2 linked regions of the Oryctolagus cuniculus genome follow. The protein of the gene in region 1 interacts with the protein of each later gene in a biochemical or structural test. Links are inferred from orthologs where the notes say so. Each region holds a gene or a part of one and is shown in the gene's direction. Other genes may lie near its edges.

Region 1 (3,814 bases):
CTTTCTGACTTATTGAATTATAGGCTAATGCCTATAATTCAAAATATTGAAGCTCAAAAAAACCCAAGCAATACATACTGTTATAATTCTTTGTTCTTTTCAAATTTATAAAAATTATTATTTGGGGGGGACATATGTCTATTTCAGATTATGGAAAATGCTGAAATTAACAATATTATCAAGATTGTGGGTCTTCAGTACAAGAAAAACTATGAAGATGAAGATTCATTAAAGACTCTTCGTTATGGGAAGATAATGATTATGACAGATCAGGTCAGATTTGTTATTAAGTAGTTTAGATTGTTAAACACAATTAAGCGTATCTTATTGTTACATTGCTTTCCTGCCATAATAATAAGTTATTTAAGTAGCTTTATTCATTATCTCTAATAAATTTCTAATCTTGTGTCTTGTGCCTATATACTAAATATATAGATTAAATGAGTCTGAATTTGAATAGCTCTTTTTTAAATCGTTTGTTTTAAGTTATTCCCATAGAAGGTTTTTTGAGAAATTGCCAGTAGTTCAATTATAATTTTGCTTAGTTTCAAAATAATCCTTTTGTACTTTATCTTTCCAAATATTTCTAGGACCAAGATGGTTCCCATATCAAAGGCTTGCTGATTAATTTTATCCATCACAACTGGCCTTCGCTTCTGCGACATCGTTTTCTGGAAGAATTTATCACTCCAATTGTAAAGGTATGCTAATTTCTGCGATACCAGAGTGAATATTTTAAGGTCCTTTTCCTCAAACCTGATGTATACATAACCCCAGTGATGTGAGGTGGTATGCAAGGGACTCCACAGAATGCAAAGCCACAGCAATGTGCACTTCCTCACAGGTATCGAGAAACAAGCAAGAAATGGCATTCTATAGCCTTCCCGAATTTGAAGAATGGAAGAGTTCTACTCCAAATCATAAAAAGTGGAAAGTCAAGTATTACAAAGGTTTGTATTGAAACCATATAGAAATTCTCATTTTGTTATATACCATTGTACAATATTTATATGGGTGTTCATTTCGTAGGTTTGGGCACTAGCACATCAAAGGAAGCTAAAGAATACTTTGCAGATATGAAGAGACATCGTATCCAGTTCAAATATTCTGGTCCTGAAGATGATGCTGCAATCAGCCTGGTGAGTCTGAGTTGTAATTTTTATATATATATATATATATATATATATATATATATATATATATATATATAAATGAGTTGTAATATATATATATTATATACACTTATATATATATTCTAATTTTAGAAAGCACTGCTGTAACTATTCAATCAACATGTAAGTTTTTATGTGAGTGTTTTGTAAAATAGAATATTTCTAGTAAGTATATTCCATAGAAGGACCCAGTTTATTTTAGATAACAGGATTTTTGTTCTTGGTTGGTTGTTTTTATGAGAGAAAGATTTTAGAACCTGTTAGTGCCACTGACATATTTTTCCTTTTCTAATTTGTAGGCCTTTAGCAAAAAGCAAATAGATGATCGAAAAGAATGGTTAACTCATTTCATGGAGGATAGAAGACAACGAAAGTTACTTGGCCTTCCTGAGGTAACAATTTTAAATATATTCCACGAAATGCACTATTTGATAGAGCTTTTAGGATTGATACTATAGCAAATTACACTTACTGAATACTTATTTCAGTAAAAATTTAATATAATAACTATATAAATTTTCTTATTTCAACTGCTGGGTGAATGTATGAGGCCTGAAAGAAATTACAAAGGTGATGCATTCTTTTTCTAATTGTGCAACAATTAAATTCGTTTTTAATTTTTAAAACATAAATACTTCCACATAATTTATATTTTATATTTTATTTCTGTGTCTTATTAAGACCAGTGATTTTTTTTTTAAACTAAATCATGTAATACTTACCCTCTTTGATCCCTCAGGATTACTTATATGGGCAAACCACCACATATCTGACATACAATGACTTCATAAACAAAGAACTTATCCTCTTCTCAAATTCTGATAATGAGAGATCTATCCCGTCAATGGTAGATGGTGAGTTCCAATTTGTTGGTATAATTTTATTGTAAAGTAGAAATCAGTACCCAGAAATGGCTAACTATTTGCCCGTCTTCATTTTACAGGTTTGAAACCAGGGCAGAGAAAGGTTTTGTTTACTTGTTTCAAACGGAATGACAAGCGAGAAGTGAAGGTTGCCCAGTTAGCTGGGTCAGTGGCAGAAATGTCTTCTTACCATCATGGTGAGGTAAACAGACAATCCATATTTCCAAAAAGCATTACAGCAGAAATCTGCAAAATCATTCTCCAAACATGTTTGGCAGAAATGTAAGATGGTATATCCATAATAGAGAACAATTTGGTAAAATCTATCAAGCTATAAAATGTGCTTGCCTTTGATCTAACCATTGTATTTCTATAGAAATAATATTCCTACAAGGATATTCATAAATATGCAAGGTGTTCAAAGATATTTAATGATGCATATTATAACTTGGTTAGGTGAAAATTTGACATCCAAAATATTCATTGACTGGCAAATTATTATATTAAAATGTGACATATGCAGGCATGGAATCTATGATATAACTTAAGTAAAAATGTATGCACTAACACTGAAGAGGGGCCGGCACCATAGCTCTCCTGGTTAATCCTCCGCCTGTGGCGCTAGCATCCCATATGGGCGCCGGGTTCTAGTCCTGGTTGCTCTTCTTCCAGTCCAGCTCTCTGCTATGGCCCGGGAGGGCAGTGGAGGATGGCCCAAGTGCTTGGGCCCTGCACCCACATGGGAGACCAGGAGGAAGCACCTGGCTCCTGGCTTTGGATTGGCGTTTGGAGGGTGAATCAACGGAAGGAAGACCTTTCTCTCTGTCTCTCTCTCTCACTGTCTAACTCTGTCAAATAAATTAAAAAACAAACAAACAAACAAACACTGAAGAATCACCATGGTATGTCAGATAGGAAAATAGAGGCAGAATTCTTTCTTTCTTTTTTTTTTTTTTTTTTTTTTTAAATATTTATTTATTTGAAAGAGTTCAGAGTTACAGAGAGAGGTGGAGCCAGAGAGAAAGAGAGGTCTTCTTTCTGCTGGTTCACTCCCAATGGCCGCAACGGCCAGAGCTGAGCTGATCAGGAGCCAGGAGTTTCCTCGGGGTCTCCCACGAGGGTGCAGGGGCCCAAGCACTTGGGCCATCTTCTACTGCTTTCCCAGGCCATAGCAGAGAGGATCAGAAGTAGAGCAACCAGGACTCGAACCAGCACCCATATGGGATGCCAGTGCTGCAAGCCAGGGGTTTAACCTGCTGCACCACAGCACTGCCTCCCCACTTTTTTAAGAAAAAAATATTTACTTACTCATTTGAAAGAAAGAGTTACACAGAGAGAGAGATCATCCATTCTGTAATTCACTCCCCAAACGGCCACAATGGCCCAGGCTAAGCCAGGCTGAAGCCAGAATCCTGAAACTCATCTGGGTCTCCCACATGGGTGCAGGGGCCCAAGTATTTGCACCATCTTCTGCTGCTTTCCCAGGTGCATTAGTAGGGAGCTGGATTGGAAGTGCAGCAGCCTGGATAGGAACTGATAGCTATATAGGATGCTGTCATCACAGTCAGCAGCTTAACCTGCTGTACCACAATGCCAGCCCCCAAGGCCGAAGAATTCTTACAGCAAAGTGTCTAGCAGGTTTAACGCCAAATTGTTAATTTTCTTTGTCCCTAGAAATTGGAAAGGGCAACTTTATATACATCTGAATCTTATGACTACATTTCCCTTTATTCTTTTTTTGTATTTTGTTATTGAATTGCTTTTTTGCATTTATTATAT
Region 2 (3,681 bases), on another chromosome or scaffold:
AGCAGTGGAGGACGGCCCAGGGCCCTGGGCCCCCGCACCCGCGTGGAGACCCAGAGCAGGCTCCTGGCTCCTGGCCATTGTGGGCATCTGGGAGTGACCCAGCGGATGGAAGACCTCTCTCTCTCTCTGTAACTCTTTCAAATAAATAACATAAATTAAAAGAAAGTTTGGAAAATTGAAGTAGACGGTAAGGGTGTTTTGCTGCAGAAACAGAATGGAAATGCATGAGGTGTTTTTCACAATATGCGTGTTTCCGGTTTTAGGATCGAATGATTTCAAAGTCAGGGTTGCAGAGAGAAGGGGTTCCCCATCTACCGTCCCCCCCCCCGATCCCCACAGTGGCCGGGGCTGGGTCTTCCCGGTCTCCCACGCGGGGACAGGGCCCCAGCAGGGAGCGGGATGGGAGGTGCGGCGGGCGCCTCACCCGGTGCGCGGCAGGCGGCCCTCGCTCGGCGCCTGTCTGTGGGCACGTGCGTCCTCTCCCCTGGCTGCTGGGTGCCCCGGTGCCGCCCCGGCCTGGTCCTCGCTGGCGCCCGCAGCCGCGTGCGCCGGGCTCTGCTCGTCCCCTGCTCCTCTGCTGGCTTCGCCGCCCCTCCTTCCTGCCTTGCGCGGACTTTCCCTGGTTTCTCCCGGAGGCGGTCCGCGTGGTCCTGCCTTCATCTCTTCCCTTTCCCAGAAGCCCCGCAGCGGCCGCCGGCCTCCCACGCTGCCTGGCCGGCCCGTCCGGGGCGCTGTGGGCTCATTCCCGCCGCCCGCGCCTGCCAGTCCCAGTTCAGAGGGAGGGGCCTCGGCTAACCCTGCCTCCGCCCAGCGGCTGCCCGGTGACCAGAGGCCCCGCGGGAGCCAGCCCGGGGCTGCCCGGGCCTCGCCTGATGTCGGCGGGAGGAAGGCGATGCGCCCCGCGGGCGGCTGACCCCAGCCCTCTCCAGTCCCGCAGAACAGCGAGAAACTGCAGGAGAGCCCGTGCATCTTCGCCCTGACGCCCCGGCAGGTGGAGCTGATCCGGAACTCCAGGTGCGCCCCCCCTCCCCTCCCCTCCCCTCCCCGCCCCCTCCCCCTCCCCCCCAGGCAGGTGGAGCTGATCCGGAACTCCAGGTGCGCCCCCCCTCCTCTCCCCCCTCCAGTCCCCCTCCTCTCCCCTCTCCCCACCCCCGCCCTCCCCTGTCCCAGCAGGTGGAGCTGATCCGGAACTCCAGGTGCGCGTCCCCCTCCCCTCCCCCCTCTCCCTTCCCCCCTCCAGTCCCCCTCCCTCCCCAGGCAGGTGGAGCTGATCCGGAACTCCAGGTGCGCCCGGCGCCCCCCCCCCCCCGCGGCCCGCTGCCCGCCGGCCCCAGGTCACGGCGCCGCAGACCCCACGGCTGCCCCGGAACCGTGCTCCAGGCGGGGCCTTTGTCCCCGTGGCCGCCCCCCCAGGAGACCCTGCCGGCCATGGGTTCCTGCACGGCTCGCTCCTTAGGGCCGAGAAGACCCCACGTGGGAGCGTGTACGCGGGGTCCGGCGCACCCCGTCAGCCGGGCACCGCCAACTCCGGAACATTACGGCACCCCAGACAGCCCCGCCCCCACGAGCGGTTGCTCCCAGCCTCTCCTCCCCCAGCCACTTCCTGTCCCTGGATTCGCCAGGCCTGGACGTTCCTGCCCGGGAGCCCACAGGGTGGCGTGGCCTCTGCGTCTCTCCCTGGGCGTGACGTCCCCGGGGCCCCGCGCTGCGCGAGCGCCGTGTGTGCCCCGTCCCTGGCCGCCAGGGTGTGGCTCTGTCCAAGCTCGCCGCGTTCCCTGCGCAGGCCTGCGGCCCGGCTCCCACAAGGCTGCCCAAGGCTGGGGGCGGACCTGGGCAGTGACCCCGCCTCCCTCCCTCCCATCCCCCACAGAGAGCTGCAGCCCGGAGTGAAAGCCGTGCAGGTCGTGCTGAGGTAGGCCGGCGCCCCCCCCCCGCCCCCCGCCCCGCCCGCCTCCCCCCTGCCTGGCCGCAGCCCCCACAGCCCCGCTGTCCCTGCAGAATCTGCTACTCGGACACCAGCTGCCCGCAGGAGGACCAGTACCCGCCCAACATCGCGGTGAAGGTCAACCACAGCTACTGCTCCGTGCCCGTGAGTGCGCGCCCCTGCGGGCGGGCGGGCGGGCGGGGTGGGCGGGGCGTGGCCTGAGCCCGCCTCTGCCCGCAGGGCTACTACCCCTCCAACAAGCCCGGCGTGGAGCCCAAGAGGCCCTGCCGCCCCATCAACCTCACACACCTCATGTACCTGTCCTCGGCCACCAACCGCATCACCGTCACCTGGGGCAACTACGGCAAGGTGAGCGCCCCCCCGGACCCGCCCCCACCGCCGCCCTGCTGGGACACACCCCCCACCGACGCCCTGCTGGGACACGCCCCCACCGACGCCCCTATCACACCCCACCCCGCCCTGCTGGGACACGCCCCCACCACACCCCACCCCGCCCTGCTGGGACACGCCCCCACCGACGCCCCCACCACACCCCACCCCGCCCTGCTGGGACACGCCCCCACCGACGCCCCTACCACACCCCACCCCGCCCTGCTGGGACACGCCCCCACCGACACCCCCACCACACCCCACCCCGCCCTGCTGGGACACGCCCCCACTGACACCCCCCACCCCACCCTGCGGGTACCCGCCCCACTCACCCCCCCGCTGACGCCCCCGCCCCCCAGAGCTACTCGGTGGCGCTGTACCTGGTGCGGCAGCTGAGCTCGGCGGAGCTGCTGCAGCGGCTGAAGACCATCGGGGTGAAGCACCCGGAGCTGTGCAAGGCGCTGGGTGAGCCCCGCGGCGGGCGGGCGGGCGGGCGGGCGGGGCTCCCAGCGGACCACGCCCCGGGCTCCGCATTCACGCCAGGGCGGGCGGGCTCCCAGCGGACCACGCCCCGGGCTCCGCATTAGCGCCAGGGCGGGCGGGTGGGCTCCCAGCGGACCACGCCCCGGGCTCCCAGCGGACCACGCCCCGGGCTCCGCATTCGCGCCAGGGCGGGCTCCCAGCGGACCACGCCCCGGGCTCCGCATTCGCGCCAGGGCTGGCGGGCGGGGCGGGAGGGCCACGCTGGGGGCTCCCAGCCCTGGGTCCGTGCAGGGGCCTGGAGGCTCTGGGCCTCCTACGACATCCCGTGCCCAGGCAGGGAAAGGGAAGGGGCCGGGCCCCGCCCCTGTTGTCCGGGCTCAGCGAGGTGGGGGCTGCAGGAGCCTCCTGGGCCCCCACAGCAGGGTCACGGGGGTGGGGGGGCTGCCTGTGCTGTCACTCATCCCCAGGGGGTCTCCGGGGTGGGGGTGGGGGTCTCCGGGGTAGCTCTGCCCAGGTTCTCCAGGAAAGCCCGAGGGCCGGGACGCGTGCCCCTGGGCTGGGCCTGGACCCAGTGGCCACTGGCAGCCCTTGTCCCAGACGCCACCAGGGCCCTGGGCCGGCTGGAGAAGACCCGAATCCCGACCTGCCTGCCCCTGCCCTCTGCCCTCTGACCTCGCCCTCTGCCTCCCCCAGTCAAAGAGAAGCTGCGGCTGGACCCGGACAGTGAGATCGCCACCACCGGCGTGCGCGTCTCCCTCATCTGCCCCGTGAGTCGCCCTCGGCCCCGCCCCGCCCCGCCCCCGCCGGCCTCGGTGCGGGCCGGCCGGCCGCTGACGCCCCACTGCCCCCAGCTGGTGAAGATGCGGCTGACGGTGCCCTGCCGC

What was found.
Region 2: of the proteins of TOP2A (region 1) and PIAS4, one has a biochemical effect on the other in vitro, tested with the Homo sapiens proteins (2 studies listed by BioGRID). The link is inferred for Oryctolagus cuniculus from reciprocal best matches to the Homo sapiens genes TOP2A and PIAS4.

The regions. Positions count from the first base shown.
Region 1 is NC_091448.1:22,079,565-22,083,378, forward strand, and holds part of TOP2A (DNA topoisomerase 2-alpha), read left to right. Parts: intron 1-147; coding exon 148-273; intron 274-590; coding exon 591-701; intron 702-844; coding exon 845-950; intron 951-1,029; coding exon 1,030-1,139; intron 1,140-1,471; coding exon 1,472-1,564; intron 1,565-1,911; coding exon 1,912-2,026; intron 2,027-2,115; coding exon 2,116-2,237; intron 2,238-3,814. UniProt on the Homo sapiens protein: Key decatenating enzyme that alters DNA topology by binding to two double-stranded DNA molecules, generating a double-stranded break in one of the strands, passing the intact strand through the broken strand, and religating the broken strand.
Region 2 is NC_091447.1:59,284,481-59,288,161, reverse strand, and holds part of PIAS4 (E3 SUMO-protein ligase PIAS4), read left to right. Parts: intron 1-929; coding exon 930-1,014; intron 1,015-1,870; coding exon 1,871-1,912; intron 1,913-1,998; coding exon 1,999-2,089; intron 2,090-2,164; coding exon 2,165-2,293; intron 2,294-2,673; coding exon 2,674-2,779; intron 2,780-3,490; coding exon 3,491-3,564; intron 3,565-3,648; coding exon 3,649-3,681.